Caenorhabditis elegans: one gene and its partners. The protein of the gene in region 1 purifies or fractionates together with the protein of each later gene. This does not show direct contact. Each region holds a gene or a part of one and is shown on either strand. Other genes may lie near its edges.

Region 1 (3,449 bases):
TCCCTTACAGCTTGCTTCGTCGCATCAATTCCTGTAACATCGAATCCACTTCTGGCCAGTGGAATCGACAAAAGACCCCCTCCGCTTCCAACGTCCACTAATCGAGGAGGAGCCTTCTGATCGCTTTTTCTAACATTATCGACAATCCAAGGAACTCGAATCCTGTTTAATGAGTGAAGTGCGTGGAAGGGACCCAGTTCATCAGCCCATTCTGCAGACAAGTCTCCGAATTTTTCGACCTAAAATAATTTTTCTACAGATAAATAGCTTATTTTTATATGTTTTACCTCTTTTACATCAATAGAAGATACTGAAGCGGCTGAAGTAGTCGAGTGTAGTCGTTGTAGCTTTGCGATGATTCTGGCACTTCGTGAAGGGATCATCTACCAGGAAAAATAAAATTCAATCAAAATAAACAAAAAAAATCGAAAAAGAAATAAAATTAGGTCGTAGAACCTGCCAAATCAATTTTTAAGTCAAAAAATCAGATTTTATTCCTTCTAGTATCAGCCGATTCGATTTAAAATACGAGAATTTACTTTACAATTACACATAAAACACTGAAAAATAAAAAATCTATTCCTTTCCGTTGAGGAATTTGGAGAGGAAGTCCTTTGGCTTGGCTTCGACATTTTCAGCGAACAGGTAGTTGCGCACGTGATCCGGGTTGTAGAATGCGTAACGGATCGATTTCATGTGCTGAAAGTGACAATTAGAGTTTAGAAAATTTAAATTTTATTCAAAAACCTGATGAGTTTCTCCGACAAGTCTGTCAACGACACGAACATCGGTGAGATGTCCGTTCTTTGTGAATTGCTTCTTGATGACAGCACGGAACACGCCGAGCGGCATATCATGAAGTCCGAAATCCCACCAGAACTTTGGAGTGAGACGTTGGAACTCCTTATAAGCGGCGAGAACCGACATGCGTGCCTCGGCGGAATTGTTGGATTTGATTGGAGCGACGGTGCGAACGGCGTGTTGTCCGGCACGGACGACTCTTCCGGCAGTTGCAGACATTATTACGAAAGAGTATCTCCTTTGGTGACACGGGCTTCAAGAAATTCGACCTTTCGTTCCAAAAGGTTAAGCTTGTCGCTGAGAGTCGCTAGTTTTGTGCGGCAAGAGAGCTCTGGAAGAAATCAGATATTTTTTAAAGGAATTAATTTAAAATAATAATTTTTCTACAAACCAAAGCTGGACAAGAAGTTAGCGATGTTCTTGATGTTATCGGCAATAATCTGAAAGTTAGTACGGGTTAGTGTGGGAGATATGAATTCACACATGAATATTTGTTGTAAAATTGTATAAAATCACAACCTACTGAAGTGAAAAGCTATTTCAACACCGCAGTTAAAAATATTCAAAAATTTCAACAACCATTTTTAATCAATTTTCATTCACATTTCAATCGATTTCCATCATTTTTTTCCGTCTACTAACCTGCTCAAACTCGCGATTATCCCAGTCGTCCTTTAGTTGTTGTTGAACGGCTTCCGAAGCGTGCATTCAACGCTGAAAAGCTGAAAAACGGTGAAGGATGGTCGCCGGTGTGCCGCGTGCTGCGTAAATCGACACACTCGATCGCGGCGAAACCCGTCCTCGAAACTGCGTGCGCCTTTGATGTCAGCGGTCGTTCGATTGGCTCCTTGTCGCACTGATTTGGCTTTGGATTTCGTAATTTTCGACGGATTTTCGGGATTTTCTATCGATTTTTTGAGAATTTTCAAGGAAATAGACTGATTATTCATTAGTTTTTTCAAAAATTCCATACATTCATTGAGAATGGGTTAGACAAACGTAAATTCAGATTTTAGAAAATCGAGCAAACTGAGCAAAAAACTGTGTCCGCTTGAGAAATTTGTAAAAATTAAGACTATATTCACTGAAAACTCTTATTGCAATCCGATATTATCCAATGAAACTATCTGCTTTTAGCAATTCTATTGTTTTGAAACGTTTCTCTCAAAATTTTATAGACATCACGTGTTTTGTTGACTATTCTCGATGATTCATTGGTTTTGATTTCGTGAAAGTTACTGCAAAATAAATTTTGCGATAAGGAAAATCAATATTTCTACTTGTTTTTTTTTCAACAGCAAAAGCGAGCTTGCTCCAAAATTAATAGCGGTTTTCCGTTAAACCCTTCTGTTTTTCTTTGTGCTCTCTCACACACACACCCTTTTCAATCGAATTGCACTTTTCAGGAATTTCCTCATTCAACATCAATATTCAAGATGTTGGCTATGGTGAATAAGGTTCTCGACTGGATTCGCAGTCTTTTTTGGAAAGAGGAGATGGAGTTGACACTTGTTGGGCTCCAAAACTCTGGAAAAACGACATTTGTCAATGTTATTGCTGTTAGTTTTTCTGGAAAATAAATTTAAATTCAATGTTCTTCACTTTAGAGCGGCCAATTCACAGAAGATATGATCCCAACAGTCGGATTCAATATGCGGAAGATCACCAAAGGCAACGTGACGATCAAATTATGGGATATCGGGGGCCAGCCACGGTTCCGCTCGATGTGGGAACGATATTGCCGCGGTGTCAACGCCATCGTCTTCATGGTGGACGCTGCCGACGAGGAGAAGCTCGAAGCATCCAGAAATGAGCTTATGCAGCTGTTGGACAAGCCACAGCTCGACGCTATTCCAGTTTTGGTGCTCGGAAACAAGAAGGATTTGCCTGGAGCACTTGATGAGCGGCAATTGATCGAAAGAATGAATCTGTCATCAATCCAGAATCGCGAGATTTGCTGCTATTCTATTTCATGCAAAGAGAAGGAGAATATTGGTAATTTTTTAAATCTTTGAACCATTCTAAACTGAATTGTTTTCCAGATATCACCCTCCAATGGCTCATCGATCACTCGAAAGCTCAACGCTAAACTAGGCACAATCCACGACTCAATCTACTCGAAAATTTACAATTCACACCGCAAAATATATTAAATCAAACCTTTTTTTTTTGAAAATTCTGTAGATATTATTTATTTGAATCCCCTCCCCTCCATATTCAACTAATCTCTCTCGTCTTTTTCATCACAATTGTAGTCAATTTCCCCAACCCATTCGCTCCCAGTTTTATTTCTTTGGTAGCTTTCACTGTGGGATGTTCATCATCCCCATTCAAAAGTTGTGAAATTTCCCTCCAATTTTATGTACATGTTGTGTATCACTTTTTTGGACATTTTGCAACACCACTGCAACCATTCTCATTATTTTTTACAAATGTGCTTAATTCCTTAACTCTTCTTCACTCTTTTTCATAAATTGAAAATTTACTAAGGCATTTAGTTAACGTGTTGCTCTAGCATTGCAGCCTAATTTTTAAAATTCTAAAGTTGAATGAAAAAAAAGGAAATCAATTATTCCTTCAGTTTCAAAATTCGAAGCAAGCGATGGAATGTGTGAATTGTGATTGTACAGTCAAAACGATGGACAATT
Region 2 (7,482 bases), about 10 Mb from region 1:
TGTAATTTTTAACTTTCGCTGATGTGGAATTTACTTCGATTTTTCATAGTTTTTTGATAAAAATAAATGTATTTATATGAAAACTTTTTTAAAAATGCAGTTTTTAAACCAATTTGGAAAAAATGAAAAAAATCTGAATAAACGAAAGTTTGAAACTACAGTACTCTTTAAAGGCGCGCACCTTTTTGCATTTAACGAAATGTTGTCGTGTTGAGACCAGGTACCGTATTATTACGACAAAATCGGTTAATTTCGCGTCAGGTTAATAGAAGTTTCAGTTTTTTTAGCAGTAAATTATTTAATTTTCACCTAATAATACGATATATATAAATTTATACTCAAGTTGAATGTGCGATTTAAATTTTCAGTCTAAAAAAGTACAAAAAGTACTGTTATCCACGTTCTCCACGGTCATTTGTATATTATACTACAGTCTAAAAATCCTCTGTAAAACTTACTACAATGAGCCGGAAGATCGGAACGCTTCTGACGAACGGTGGCCGAGTTGCTGACGAGGAGCTCTGACTTGAATTTCTTGTCATTCAAGAACACCACCTCATTCCAAGCATCATCAGTTCGTCCCTGTCCCTCTTTGAAGCTCAACAAGGAATCATCCAAAAATTGATTGATATCCTCACACACCGAAGCGGCAAAAAATGCACAAAACGAGATGCACGCAACGCTCACCAGGACACTTGTCCAGGTGGCAATCGCCGCGTTGTCTACAGTCATAGTTCTAGACGACGAAAATGGAAAGAAATGGCAAAGTGACGGTGGACGATGTCTTTATAGAACGAAGATGGGGGAAAGTACAAGAAGCTAAATCTAAAACCGGTTTGTGTGGTTGCATGTATGGATAACGAGGTGTGGAAGCAGTTTGGCATGTTCGATGGCGGTTTTGGATGACAGCGAGATGGAGGAAGAACAGTTGCGCAATGAAACGAAAAAGGATATATTGGATTCGTATATCAAAGGGGAACACGAGAAGGGATTAATCCAATTTATTATGGAAGCGCAGAAAAATGCGCATTATTGAGGTCGAGGTGCAAGCGCGCTCCAGGTGAAAACGCTCCGCCCCTAAACGTTGGGTCTCGTTAGGTGTTGGCGGCAAAATAAAAAAAACAAACGTTTCAAGTTATTATTTTTTAATGTCCAAATTGATTATATACAAGCCAAAACCTAACGAGACCCAAAGTCTGGAGGCGGAGCATTTTCATTATGGCGTTGGAGCACGTTTGCACCTCAAATTCAAAAGTCGCATTTTTCTGTATCCCTTTTTCGAATTTTGTTAGGTTGTTGGAAATTCGGCTAGTTTTCTACACAATTACTTGAAATTAATGGGGATATGCAAAAAGGGGATCTGCGAAAAGAGGAGATACGAAAAGGGGAGCTGGCACTGTGCCAAACGCACAAACCGCTTTTTTATTCTCATTCAGCGCACGACTTTTTTTTTGTATTTTTCGCTAAACAACGCGCGATGCGTAATAACGGAGTGTGGTTATAACAAAGTCGTGCGTTGGATGAGAATAAAAAAGCGTTTTGTGCGTTTGGCACAGTGCCAGCTCCCCTTTTCGTATATCCCTTTTCGCAGATCCCATTTTTGCAGATCCCCTTTTCGTTCTGCTCCCCTTTTCGTGGGGCCTCAAATTAATCACGTGTAACAGCCACATTAACTGAGATCGTGGCGAGACCCGCAGCGTGTGCCTTTAATGTGGTATCAGGTCTCGAAACGAATAAAAATGCGCCTTTAAGAAGTACAGTAGTTTCAACTTTAGTTATTTTCTATGCGTTTTCTTATTTATAAATTATTGTCGAAACTTGTCACTGTATTTTTGACTAAAAACCGCAAAAATTCATTGATCAGGTTTTTCCATGTTTGGCTTCCCTTGCAATCCATACCTTAATCCTTAAACCTCATTTCTCTCGAACGGAGCTAGGAACAAGGGAAAACCTTTTCTCGGGGGAGCGCAGCGACCCGAGAATGGGATGTTTTCCCGTGACAGCGGAGTGAGAGAGACAGTAGCAAACTAAAGGCGCAGGCATTTTCCTCCGGCACGGGTCTCGCCGCGACAAGCGCCCCGCGGGCGCTGCGGCGCCTGTTTCTCCTCATTCTACGTGTGCAATCCTTAAAATCCATACCGACGATCCTCAACTTTTTACATTAAAACCAATATCCTTGTTTCTAAATTCTCAATTAATTTACACTTTTATTGCTGTAAAACAAAACAAAACAAAAAACTCAAAACAACTATTTTCTGAGATCGAAATTAGGACGTCACTTGTCCGGGATGCTTGTCGGGACGATTTTTTCGAACGAGAAATTTCATTTTCCGGTTCATGTCCTCGTTGAAAATCGCCGTTGATGCTTCCATCGACAGTGTTTTTCGTTGCATGTAGGGCTTCTGATAGAATTGAGTGCGGCGAATGATTTTCAGCATTCCTTCTGAATCCATCAATCTGAAATTATTTCAATCTTGAAATTATGTTCTGGGAATTTTTCCAAAGAAAACCTGTTAAGAAGTCCGAAAGCTCCATCGACATCATTGTTCTGCACCATTACTGTTCGAGTTGCGAATCTTGGATGTGAATTCCAAATTCCTTTGAAAAGTTTAATCGCGAACGGCTGAGAAATCGTTCCTCTCCAGGTGAATTGACGTACCATCTTTAAAACAATTATCAAAAAAATTCTAAATGAAAAACCGAATCGAACATTTATCTTTCATGGATGGATAAACCACATTTGACAGCGAATAAAATTGAGAAAAAGCGAAGAGAAAACAAGAATCGATTTATTGTTGTTCTCAAAAGTCTACACAATGGCTCGTGGCATAATATTACTTCTACTGTCTGCGGGCGGCAACACGGGCGTCAATCTCTTCTTGGACTTCTGGGGAGAGAGCATTATCCGGTCTTGGGCGAAGACTATCAAGTCTGAAGAGGACGGAAGTTGGGTATGCCATGAAAGCGACGCAGATGAGTCCGTAAAGGGCAACCTGAAAAAATTGGTGTTATAGTGAATAATATGGATATCTGGATAAATATGTTTTTGAGCAGCTAAATTAAAAGTGAGACAAATTTCAAAACTGTATCTTTTAGTTCAGAAATTAATTTTTCAAATCCATTCAAACGAATGTACAAACTGAAATTTAGTTTTTTTTGGTGAGCTAGTGGTATTTTAAGTTTTACTGCTCACAAGGATAAGTTCAAGACATTTAGCAAATAAAAAATTACCTTCTCGCTGACAGAGGTGAAACGGAGTGGTGGGGTCGAGTCAACTCCCTTGTGAAGCGAGCGACGGATGACATGTTGGCTTCTAGCCAAGGAGAGCACAGCACGGTTCAGCATCCTGCAATAAATCGTTTAAATTTACAGAGTAATTGAGCAAGCATGATAATCCATAGAAAACGAAACAGAGAATACGATTCAGGCGGTTATAAAAACAGAAACTATACGAAAATCGTTAATTCTACACAATGAATCAAAAAATTATTTGATTTTGCTAATGGATGAAGCTTGAAAGCTGAAAAATAGTAAAAATCTGCTTAAAAAATAATCGGCAGGCTGTGAGAGGTTAAAGGCGCAGAGACGGCTGACGGAAAACAAAAACAATCGTTGCGAGACCAGCCGCTTGGCTACGTGCCAAGTGTGAGAATACGGAAGGTGAGAAAGACGGAGACACTGCGAAGCGAGTGAACGGTGAATGCGAGACACCAAAACCCGGAAGTGGACAGGCAGAAATTGATTTTCTCGTTAAAAATTTTTTGTATTCAGAATTGCAATCAATTCAACTAATCAATATTGATATTTTCATCTTAAAGTTTATCTACTAATTAGTATTTAATCCCACAAACTCGTAAATTTCATCGCGACTCACGTTCCCCCGTTTCGCAGTGTCTCTTGTTTCGCATGCTGCGTCTCGTTTCTCTTCTTCTTCACATCTCCTCGAGGCTTACAGTTTTTTCAGCATATATTTCAGTTTTCCATCATTTTTCTGGAGTTTTTTATTGAAAAATGTTGTAACAGAAATAAATTTAAACATTTCGAAGCTATTTTCATGTTATTTTGTCCGTTGTTTCCCTTTCAATCGACTATTCGTTGAAGTTTTCGAGTTTTCCGTTAAAAATCGTTGTTTTCCAGAATCTACACATTCCAAATGGATGGTAATGATATAAATATACAAAAAAACGAGTTTTCTCGAGACCAATCAGCACTTCTAATGATGGATCAGCATTCCGACCATAAGAATCACGAATCGGCAATCGGCGAGCCAGGAATGTCATACACAGCCTCTCAACCGGCTCTTTCCTCTACTGAGCATCAAACGCCATTAGTTTCTGTACGATTTTTTATTTTTCTGCGATTATTCAATGATATTGATTACAGGAAGCAAGCGTCGCAGCTCCTCAAAATCATTTGAATGGCAATTCCCATGAATCGGTTTCCGAAATGGATAGAGTAAGTGTTTTATTCATTTAAAATTTTAAAAAAAGTCTCATCTCAGAATTCGGTTGATTTTGCGATAGAATCAGTGCTCATGAAAGTGAGTGTAACCTCCGATTTCACTGAACTTCCTCCATTTCTCAACGTAATTTTCCAGGCGAGAGCTTACAACAAGATGGGCGCTCCAAAAGATCCGAGGAGAAAGCAGCACAATCCGAAGAGCGAGCCTAAAATCGAGCCACATGTGACAGATTCATCGGATAATCAGGCTGCAATGAGCAACAAGATGGAAGCGGAAGCGCCGAAGATGGAGTCAAATCAGAACTACGTCAGCAACGGATCTGAGGTATGGTTTATTCTGAAATGTGGAAGATTATTTTCATTCAAAAAAAATTTATTTATAAATTTATAAATTTTTGAAAAAATTCAAATTTCCCGTGGCAATATCATACTGAACTTTTAAATGAAGAAAAAAAATTAATTGATAAATATCATCAAATTTTATTCCAGCCTCCATTCCGTTTCGTTTCAATTTCGAATTTCGACGAAATGAAAACAAAAAAGAAAGAAGTTCAAGAAGAATTGAAGCTTGAGGTGGACTCGGACAGTGAAGAAGATGATGTCCCAGAGCAGAAAACTCCAAAGGAATCGGATCGATGTGGAGGATGCGGAAAATTTACTCATGAAGATGATCTAATTGCTCTTGAAGAGGAAAAGAAGAAGGAAAAGGAAAAGCCACTGATGAGCAAGAAGAAATCTCACCATCACAAGAAAAATGACTTCCAATGGATTGGCTGTGACTCTTGCCAAACCTGGTACCATTTTCTGTGCTCAGGCCTCGAGCAATTTGAGTATTACCTGTATGAGAAATTTTTCTGCCCCAAATGCGTTCCACATACCGGACATAGCATTCGTAAGTTTTTTCATCGAATAGCTTGCAATTAAATATATTTATTTATTATTTTAGGATACAAAGTCGTCGCCCCACATCGTTATCGCTGGTACAGTCCGAACGAGAAGCATCTCGGAATTGAAGTTGGCTCAAAAACTTGGATTGAGGATTTCATCACCAGAGAAAATACTGTTCCCTCACCGTAAGGGAATTTTCATTAAAAGATGACTTGGTTGTTATTTGTGAAGACTCGAAATACGCCAAAATGAACGAAGACTTCACAAAAATTTCAAGAAAAAGAGTTAATCTCAGCTGAAAACTCCCATTTTTGCCGTTTTCTCACATTTTTCGTTTATTTGGTACATTCTGAGCTGTCAGTTTACTAAAATTGGCCTTTTTTGATTACCTATTGGCTTCAAATGTACATAAATCAACGAAAAAACTTGAATTTATCACCTATAATAATGTTTTTCGTTCATTCCGGCACATTTTGAGTCTAAACAAGCAAAAAACCCAGACCTCCCTTAAAGATTATTTAAAATTAAATTTGTATTCTTTAGAACCGACGATGAGGTTTGCATTGTCGAAGATGGCTACGAATTCCGCAGAGAATTCGAAAAACTCGGAGGAGCTGACAACTGGGGAAAAGTTTTTATGGTCAAAGACATGGACGGCCTCAATATGACAATGCCGAAGCCTGGATTCGATTTGGAGGATGTTGTGAAAATTATGGGATCGGATTATGAAGTGGACACGATCGATGTCTATAATCAGAGCACCTATTCGATGAAGCTTGATACGTTCAGAAAACTTTTTCGCGACACTAAAAACAGACCACTCTTGTACAATTTTCTGTCCCTTGAATTCTCGGACAATAATGAGTGAGTTTATTAACTGAAAACAATTGAAAAATTAATTAATTAACATTTCCAGGATGAAAGAAATCGCTAAGCCGCCAAGATTTGTCCAGGAAATCTCAATGGTCAACCGCCTGTGGCCTGATGTCAGTGGAGCGGAGTACATTAAACTCCTCCAGAGAGAAGAATATCTTCCAGAAGATCAGCGACCAAAAGTGGAACAGTTTTGTCTCGCAGGAATGGCTGGATCTTATACGGATTTCCACGTGGACTTTGGTGGTAGTAGCGTCTACTATCACATTTTGAAGGTATAATTATTGAAGGAATATAAATGGTTCCGCGGATTGTGAACGTTCTGACCCCGCCAAAATGTTCTCAAATTAACGAATTTCGTTTGAAACTTCTGAAAAAATTCTCAATATTTTTTTGGTTTTTTTGGAGGTTCAAAATTAAAAAAAAAAGACTAAATTTGGCTAAAATCTCCTATTTTCCGAGATTTTAAAAGCATTTTTGAGAAGCCTCATCACGAAATTCGTTGATTTGAGCACATTTAGGATCGTAATGTTCGAAATACCCTTCTTTCAACTGAAATTGGTTTTCTCAAAGCTTATTAACTCTATTTTCAGGGCGAGAAAATCTTCTACATCGCCGCGCCAACGGAGCAGAACTTTGCAGCTTATCAAGCACACGAGACATCTCCGGACACCACTACATGGTTCGGTGACATTGCCAACGGAGCTGTTAAGCGAGTTGTGATCAAGGAAGGTCAGACACTGCTCATCCCGGCTGGTTGGATTCACGCGGTTCTCACTCCAGTCGATTCGCTCGTTTTTGGAGGAAACTTCTTGCATTTGGGAAATCTTGAGATGCAAATGCGCGTGTACCATCTCGAAAACGCGATTCGTAAGGAAATTAGAAGCGAGGAGAAGTTCTACTTTCCGAATTTCGAACTTCTTCATTGGATGTACATGCGAAACGTCTTGCTTGAGAAGATTACAGGTAAGCAATTTACTAGTTTGTATAGCGGTTTTACTAATATTCGCTACATTTCAGAAGCCAATCAGGAAGGTTCTGACATGCGTGAGCAGGAGAAGAATATTTGGACGGCGTCACAAATCATGAAGGCCGAAATGGAGCGCTGGATGGATCGAGAGTTGAGATTGGGTCCCGAGAAGAACGCGATCCTGCCCACTGACGACAAGAATAAGATTATGATCTCGGTGAGGAAGCAGATTGAGATTCAGACGAAGATTCAGAATGCCAAGAATAAGCCGATGGGGTTGAAGCAGAAAC
Region 3 (8,176 bases), on another chromosome or scaffold:
GGGTGGTCAGCGAGGGCAACCCACCACAATACACCATATTTGACGCGCAACTTTTTTCCCCATTTTCAGAATACAGAATCCCAATACCGCCAGCATCAGCCATCGTACCCGCAAAACTACCAGAATCATAATTACAATGCTCACCAGCAACACTACCATCAGCAGCAGCAACAGCAGCAACATGCTCACCAACAAAAACAGGCGTCTCAGCAGCAGCAGCAACAACAGTACCCCTACAATAATTATCCTAGTCCAAGTAAGAATACGCACTACGGTAGTCTCTTCATCGGAATGATGACGTCACATGTGCAATTCCGTTGACGTCATACTTCCAAAAAATATTTTTGAATATGGAAGATATCAGCGACTGTATGTGTGTGGATTTACGAATCTAGTGTACTCCCCGTGGAAAATCAAACAAAGTATTTGACCGAAAAAGCCAAAATCTTTTGATCTCCATCTCCTCCAGGAGTGCACAATCTGCGTAAATCGACACAAGGTCAAAAAATATAAATATTCCAGCAAAGCTATTTCCAGATGCGATAAAAGCCTATCAGGCGGCGTATCCGTCGGTTCCACACGCTTCTGTGTTCAATCAGCCGACGCATCAGATTTGTGACATTCCACCAGACTTGTGGTAAGTGCTTTTTGTTGTTTTTTCAGAGGAAAATGCGGGGGAAAATGCTTTTAACAAAATGAAATAGGCTTAGGCTTAGGCTTAGGCATAGGCTTAGGCTGGGGCTTAGACTGGGGCTTAAGCTTAGGCTTAGAGTAAAGCTTAGGTTGAGGCATAGGCTTAAGCTGAGGCTTAGGCTTTGGCTTAAGCTCAGCTTAGGCTTAGACTTAGGCTCATGCTGTGCTCTGCTCAAAAAAATTTCGATCGTGCCAAGACCCCAAATTAGCAAAATCCAGAAAAAAATCTTTCCAGGTGTGACAGCCCGCAGTCTGCCCAACAGTGTGGGGTCCAACGGCAATGCGATGGTCTCCGTCACCGGCGGCAGCCGATCAAGATCACCTTGATCTATGAGGCCTTGTGCCCATATTGTCAAAAGTAGGCCATAGGAAAATCGATTTGACTGGAATTTATAAAGTTCAGATTCATCGCAAATCAGTTGGGCAGTGTGTTCAATCAGTTCCAGGGCCAGTTGATTCTTGAGCTAGTGCCATGGGGAAACTCTAGGATAATGCGGGTAATTTCTTTTTGTTCTGAAAATTCTGAAAATCGTCAAATTTGCACAGGACGGCTCATTCTCGTGCAATCACGGACAAAAAGAGTGCGACGCGAATCGCCTTCAATCTTGTGTCATTGATATTTTGAAGGTTAGCAATTGATGGGGGGCTCAAAACACAGACACAGATGAGCGCCGATCAATCTCTCTCTCTATTTATCAAAAGTGATTGATTTCAGGTCAAAGGAGCGTTGCCCTTCATCGTCTGTTTCGAACGTAACATTCAACACTATGGAGTCGAACACGCGATGCAGACGTGCTCCGCGTTCATTCGGAGCCAATATCGACAGATTAGGTATTTATTCCGAAAACTACTTTTACGGCAAATCGGTAAACCGGCAACTTGCCGGCATTGAAAATTTCCGGCAAATCGGGGGCCGGAAAATCGGCAAAATTCCGGAGTTTAAATTATCCGGCAAATTGACAAATTACCGGAATCGAAAACTTCCGGCATTCGGCAAACGGGCATATTGCCGGCATTGAAAATTTCCGGCAAATTGTCGGAATTGCAATTTCCGGCAAAATGTCGGAATTGCAAATTTCCGGCAAATCTGCAAACCGGCAAATTGCCGGAATTTAATTTTCCGGCAAATTGGCAACTTACCGGAATTGAAAATTTCCGGCAAATCGGCAAACCGCCAACTTACCGGAATTGAAAATTTCCGGCAAATTTCCGGAATCGAAAATTTCCGGCAAATCGGCAAACCGGCACTTTGCCGATTTTCTTTTTGCAATTTTGCCACACGCTTTTATTATCCTTTTAAATACGATTTTTCTGCATTTTTTCGAAAAAAACTAATTATCTTCCAGTATTTTGGTAAATAAACTCGGAAATTCATTTGAAAAATGAATTTAAAAAATGTAAACGCGCTCCATTTTTTTCGGTATTGCCGCTGAATTCCTAACGAGACCCATGGTTCGGAGGCGGAGCGCTTTCGATTGGCCGTGGAGCGCGTTTACTGTTTTTTAAACTAGTTTTCTAATAATAATTTCCTAAAACTAATAATGATAATAATAATTAAACTAGTTTTCTGCAAATTTTCGAATAAAATGTTCAAAGTTTTCCCGATCTTGAGCTAAAAAACGGGGTACCCGGTCTCGACACGACAAAATTGTGTTAAACGCGGAAAGCTGTGCGCTTTTAAAGACTACTGTAATTTCACTTTTTGGAATTTCTATCGATTTTTAATATTTTTTTATTATGTTTTGGTGAAAATCAAATGAAAAATTTATAGAAAATTCCTAAAAGTGAAACTACAGTAATCTTTAAAGGCGAAACTTTTTTGAATTAAAAAAAAAGATTGTCGTGTCGAGACCGTATCTTTCACAATTTCAGACAATGCTACGATGGTCCACGTGGCGTTCAACTCCAGCGCGAAGCTGCTCAAAAGACGATGAGCACCCGACCGAATCCGATCCTCGAAGTTCCATATCTCCTCATCAACGACTACACACCATCGGTCGATATGAACAATCTGAATGTGATGCTGCTGCCTCAGTTGTTAGCGAAATGGACTAAATTAACGCATAAACAATAAATCGATTAAAGGCGGGGAAGATTCATGTTTTCCAACACCGAACTGGGATGATTTCAAAATAAATTATGGGGAAAAATACACAAAAAGACGGGGAGAGAACGAGGAAATTGGGAATTTTTGAGAAAATAATAAAAAAATAAGCAAATGAGTATTGATTTAAAAATTATTGCAATGAAGTCGTCGCCATCATACCGGCCAAACTTTGCACAATATTGTCGTTGAGCATCTTGCTCACTTCATCAGCAATATGCCGCTTCGGATCCATCTTTCCGACGTTCTTGATCGCGAGCTCCTGATCCGTCATGTTCTTCTCGTCCTCCAACGCCTTCTTGTAGTTCTTGGCGAGCTTGAGCATCGCCTTGAGGTGCTCCTTGTTCTGTTCACCGCATTTTGAGTAGTTTTCGACGCTGACTGCGTCCATCCATGAGAGCTTGTTAAGATTCAAGAGCATCTTCTGTTCAAGGTCGTGGGTTCTGTAGGCGATTGGGATGGAGTAGTAGTGACGATTGAGTCCGTGGATTAGGGCCTGAAAAAAAAACCGAAAATTATTGAAATGTTCACTAAAAACCGATAATTTCCCCAACCTGAATGCTCGGCTTCTGCAAATGACCCAAATTACTGGTAGTTTGACGTGGTTCTTGATTTAAAGCCATCGATTGTGGGTTGATCGTACGGAACGCGTCGATCACAACCTTTCCCTTCACAGATTGAATCGGGTCGACGACAACGGCGACAGCTCTGTCGGAAAGCGCTTCAAACGACTGCTGAGTGTTGATGTCGACGCCGGAGAGCCAACATCCGAATCCTGGATGGGAATGGTACCATCCGACGACCATCTCGGGTCTTCCGGTCTGTTTGAGCATGTCGAGCATCTTCGCCTGGAATACTGGATCGACCGCTTCGACTGAGACTCCCTGTAATGAAAATAATAAATTATCTTTTTTAAAAATTCAATTTTTGACGAAAACTCACGGTTCCAGACTGTGGCATAGCGAAAACGTCGATCACATTGACGGTGTAGTCGTCGACGAATTCTCCAAGCATCAGCCCCATCACTTCCATGGGAACTCCGGCTCTTCCGTGTTTGAGCATCTTCAGCAACGCCAGCGAAGAAATGTAGACGGTTTCCGAGGTGTCGACTTGATTCGAGTCCTGTGGATTGGCTCCGAACTGGAAATATTCGAAATTTTAGATGATTTTCTATCGAAACAGAATGCAATTACCGTTCCAAGGTTTCCACCAAGACCTCCGAGTCGCAGGAATCGCTCCATTCCTCTCTGAAACAGATTTCGGTGAAAATTAACAGAAATTTCGTGGAAACAACTGAGAAAATCGATAAAAACACAATACGACATTGATAATTACCATTATCCAGATATTTTAATAAATTTTTGACCGGAAATATCCGAAATTTACAGCAAAAAACGAAGAAATCGGGAGTCGCGTTCGAAAATTGTGAGGATGACAATTGCGGGGTACGCAAACACCACGCGGGTGTCACTGCGGACTTTGCGCGCGATATGACGACAATGCAAAAAAATAAAGAAAACGGCGGGAACAGTTTATTTTCAAATAAAAAAGGTCAAATATTAATTTCTCATAATAAGGTTTATTCAAGTGGAATATTTGAATTTTGAGCAATTTTAAATAGTCAGTAGCATAGTGAAGTTGGGTAATGTGAATGAGGGAATTTAAAAATAACAATTAAATTAAAAGTTTAGAGTCGAGGACTTTGTTGGATCGCGGCTCTTGGAGCAACATCTTCTTTTTTGACAGTCTCACAGCCATTGGTTTGGATTGAACGGTGTATTCTAAAATTTAGACGTTAAATTATTGATATTTTGTTTTCAAACTTACGTTTCTAGCAGGTATACGCCGTAGTTGCATTTCTCTTCCCTGCTCCAAAACGCCGACTCTCCTTTGAAACTGCCGTTCTGAAAATTTTACTATATTAGAATCTTTTTTAGCCAATTAATTTAACTTACGTATTTGTTAGTAAAGTTCGATTTTCCAGCCAAATTTTTGAAAAAAAATATCATAGCAGCTTCCCTGGCGAGTGCTAGATTTTCGATAATTGGTCTCCCTAAAAAGCAATTCAATTTATAGATTTTTCTTATCTAAACGTACAAATTATGTGTTTATAAACAAATCCTTTTTTGTTCCAAGCCTGGTCAATTGTAGTAAGCTTGCGGCTTCCTTGAATGTTCCCGCAAGCATCCTTGAAGTAGGCCATTGCTCTTTCCCCTTTTCCTTTGCCCACGTAGAATATTGACGAGAGGAACGTAGCCAGATCTACTTCCCTCACGTCTTTGTCCAGAACGTATGGGTTTATTAGAACGTAACAGTAACTCTCACTAGGTGCTTCCTTCAAACTTTTTTTCAGATCGTTATCCATAGTTTTCCCTTTTTCTTTTAAATCCTCTCGTAACTCTTCGCCGTCCATGTACTGTCCCAATGTCTTCGATGGCTTCTTATTTCTTGTTGCGCGATTGACGTTAGTAGATTTTTCTTGATGGGGAGATCCGGTGAGCTTTGAATTGATACATAATTAGCAGATCGCTTCCTCGATTCTTGATACTTGTCTCTTCTATAAGCATTAGAATATGAAAACTTGAAAATGGTTTTTTTTTTCAATTAAAATAAGTTTCAAAAGTTATCACTTACTGATTAGTAGCCGATCTCGTGTTGGTTAGGTTGATGTTAGTTTTTTTTGACACACGATCTCTGAATAAAAAAATTCACATGCGATATTATCAGGTCCTGCCATTTTAAACATTTTTCAGCTACTTTTTCCACGCGGCAATTCACCGGCAATTTTAATTCCGGCAACTCGGCAATTTGCCAATTTGCCGGAGATTTCAATTCAGGCAATTCGCAGGTTTGCCGATTTGCCGGAAATTTAAATTCCGGCAAAGTGCCTTTTTTCCGGCAATTTGCAGGTTTGCCGATTTGCCAGAAATTTCAATTCCGGCAAAGTCCCGTTTTTCCGGCAATTTGCAGGTTTGCCGATTTGCCGGAAATTTAAATTTCGGCAAAGTGCCGTTTTTCCGGCAATTTGCAGGATTGCCGATTTGCCGGAAATTTACATTTCGGCAAAGTGCCGTTTTTCCGGCAAAACGGCAATTTGCAGGTTTGCCGATTTGCCGGAAATTTCAGTTCCGGCAAAGTGCCGTTTTTACGACAAATCGGCTATTTGCAGGTTTGCCAATTTGCCGGAAATTTAAATTTCGGCAAAGTGCCGTTTTTCCGGCAAATCAGCAATTTGCAGGTTTTTCGATTTGCCGGAAATTTCAATTTCGGCAATTTGCCGATTTGCCAGAAAATTCAGTTCCGGCAAAGTGCCGTTTTTCCGGCATATCGGCTATTTGCAGGTTTGCCGATTTGCCGGAAATTTAAATTTCGGCAAAGTGCCGTTTTTCCGGCAAATCGGCAATTTGCAGGTTTGCCGATTTGCCGGAAATTTCAATTCCGGCAAATCGGCAAATTTGCGGGTTTGCCGATTTGCCGGAAATTTTCAATTCCGGTAAGTTGCCGATTTGCCAGAAATTTCAGTTCCGGCAATTTGCCGATTTGCCGGAAATGTTCCCAGGACTTAAAGGTGGAGTAGCAGTGGGGAAACTGTTAAAAACCACATATATGCCACCAAGATGTCCAAATATCATAGTAACATGTTTTGAAAATTTTTTATTGGCAATAAAAATGGCAGGTTATTGAGTTTTAGCCACATTTTTAGAAAACTGTAGTAATTTCGCATGCTCGAATCCTTACAATTTTTATTTGAAACAATCGGCGAATTCCAAAAAGGGTTACAAAATTAGTTTCAAATTTTTTGAAACGTTCTACTATGATATTTGGTTATCTTGGCACATTTTTTGGCAACAATATTCCAAAAAAAAATTTCAATTTATAAAATGTTTAAATTGTAAGTTTTTCTATACACTGGAATTGATTCAGTTTCTAAAGTTTCTATTATTGCTGCCGTTTTGGAATACTATTTTCAATCAATGTTTTTAAAATTTTTAATGCATTTACCCTCCTTCTATATTATCTTGAGAGAATGATTGCGCCTATGGTCATCATATGGAGCGATCATTCTGGCAAGATAGGTGCTGTCGCCTCTACGTTTGGTGAAGGAGATCAACAGTTGACGATGAGGGTCTTACGGGTTCAATTTCCTGGCACGAGTCACTGGCTAAAGACAGTACTTATTCATAATATTTTTTGGTTAATGATTTTTAAATAAAGCTGTAAACTTTTAAAATATATTGTTTCCTATTTAAACATTTGAATCATTCATTTTTGGAAACTGCAACTGCATTGAAGCAATGTTAAGATGAATGGTATATGTACATAAACCAACGAAAACCATGGAATTGGAAGTCATTTCAATAAGTTTTAGGATTTTTTTCAGGTTTCAGGATCATCCAGGTTTTTACAACTCTTTATGGAATCCTAGCTTTTTTTTATTTTTCTCTTCGAAGTAGTTTTGCTTCTCTTTTTCCAGAATGTTTTGGCTACTTTTTTTTTCTGAAAATTCAAAAAAACCACTATTTTAATGTGTTGACTTGGTAAGGTCACCAGATTAACGTCTTCGAGCTCTGGCAACTTCAGCTATCGTAACCGGAACACTTAATTCTGAGATTGCGGATTGTGCAACATATTTGGCGCGATGAATATCTCGTAGCGAAACCCACAGTAACTCTTTCAATGAGAACAGTAGTGATTGTGTCGATTTACGGGCTCTATTTTGGAATGAAAATTGTGACATCGATATTCAATTTTCTTTAGTTTTTTTTTTCGTATTATCGATTAATCCATTATTTCCGTAAATTGTCACCAGCACTACAGTAGTCATTTAAAGAATTACTATAGTTTTCGCTAAGAAATATTTTGCGCGTCAAATATGTTGCGCAATATTATCAAAAAATATAAATCGCACTGGCCACCACGGCCCGGCGAACCGTACGTGGCTGTAAAATCTCTACCGTAGTAAAATTTAGCTGACTGAATATTCAACGTTTGATACTCAGCGAAAAGTTTCATACGACATTTTGCGGACGCGGCATTTTAATTGACGACACTTTCTTAGTTATAGAAACGCTGGTTATTTCGGCAATTTTCGGGCAGAAATTGTGAAAAATAAATGAATTTTTATCGAATTTACAAAAAATAATAATTTTAAAGGATTGTATGTTGCTGATATTGAAGAAAATCGATACTTTAAACAGTTTTTCGCAATGTTTCTCGATTTTGGCCAATTTTTTCGAGTTTTAGAGCCCTGAAATTCCCTAAATCGTATAATCTCACATTTGATTATTGAAAAACGCGTGTTATTATTAAAAATTCGTTTATTAATATAAAAATAACAATGTAAATACATAATAAAAATGTAAAAGATAGTCAATAAAA

What was found. Proteins that work in one complex are often made in the same cells at the same time.
Region 2: the proteins of Y57G11C.1147 (region 1) and F29B9.11 fractionate together in Caenorhabditis elegans (co-fractionation; one large-scale study listed by BioGRID). This does not show direct contact.
Region 3: the proteins of Y57G11C.1147 (region 1) and rpn-11 fractionate together in Caenorhabditis elegans (co-fractionation; one large-scale study listed by BioGRID). This does not show direct contact.

What each region holds. Positions count from the first base shown.
Region 1 is NC_003282.8:14,795,942-14,799,390, forward strand, and holds Y57G11C.1147 (Protein BRICK1), read right to left. Parts: upstream 1,574-3,449; 5' UTR 1,510-1,573; coding exon 1,444-1,509; intron 1,242-1,443; coding exon 1,193-1,241; intron 1,133-1,192; coding exon 1,023-1,132; 3' UTR 1,021-1,022; coding exon of another isoform or gene 748-1,020; intron 700-747; coding exon of another isoform or gene 577-699; 3' UTR 501-576; downstream 1-500. Other genes in the region: coq-3 (Ubiquinone biosynthesis O-methyltransferase, mitochondrial), read right to left, coding at 9-239, 288-383; nuo-3 (NADH dehydrogenase [ubiquinone] 1 alpha subcomplex subunit 6), read right to left, coding at 577-699, 748-1,020; arl-8 (ADP-ribosylation factor-like protein 8B), read left to right, coding at 2,238-2,360, 2,409-2,796, 2,844-2,890; Y57G11C.14 (uncharacterized protein), read left to right, coding at 3,404-3,449.
Region 2 is NC_003282.8:4,656,856-4,664,337, forward strand, and holds F29B9.11 (Cytochrome c oxidase polypeptide VIIc), read right to left. Parts: upstream 3,347-7,482; 5' UTR 3,346-3,346; coding exon 3,232-3,345; intron 2,994-3,231; coding exon 2,841-2,993; 3' UTR 2,776-2,840; downstream 1-2,775. Other genes in the region: col-111 (Nematode cuticle collagen N-terminal domain-containing protein), read right to left, coding at 459-732; mrps-21 (Mitochondrial Ribosomal Protein, Small), read right to left, coding at 2,268-2,457, 2,511-2,662; jmjd-1.2 (JmjC domain-containing protein), read left to right, coding at 4,154-4,336, 4,384-4,455, 4,502-4,786, 4,951-5,353, 5,408-5,534, 5,893-6,213, 6,266-6,497, 6,816-7,188 and 1 more.
Region 3 is NC_003280.10:4,040,287-4,048,462, forward strand, and holds rpn-11 (26S proteasome non-ATPase regulatory subunit 14), read right to left. Parts: upstream 4,045-8,176; 5' UTR 4,039-4,044; coding exon 3,991-4,038; intron 3,938-3,990; coding exon 3,740-3,937; intron 3,682-3,739; coding exon 3,352-3,681; intron 3,294-3,351; coding exon 2,931-3,293; 3' UTR 2,776-2,930; downstream 1-2,775. Other genes in the region: pqn-48 (Prion-like-(Q/N-rich)-domain-bearing protein), read left to right, coding at 70-256, 538-637, 929-1,051, 1,097-1,190, 1,240-1,320, 1,409-1,524, 2,566-2,767; K07D4.2 (GIY-YIG domain-containing protein), read right to left, coding at 4,485-4,578, 4,625-4,701, 4,753-4,850, 4,895-5,210. UniProt on the Caenorhabditis elegans protein: Metalloprotease component of the 26S proteasome that specifically cleaves 'Lys-63'-linked polyubiquitin chains. The 26S proteasome is involved in the ATP-dependent degradation of ubiquitinated proteins.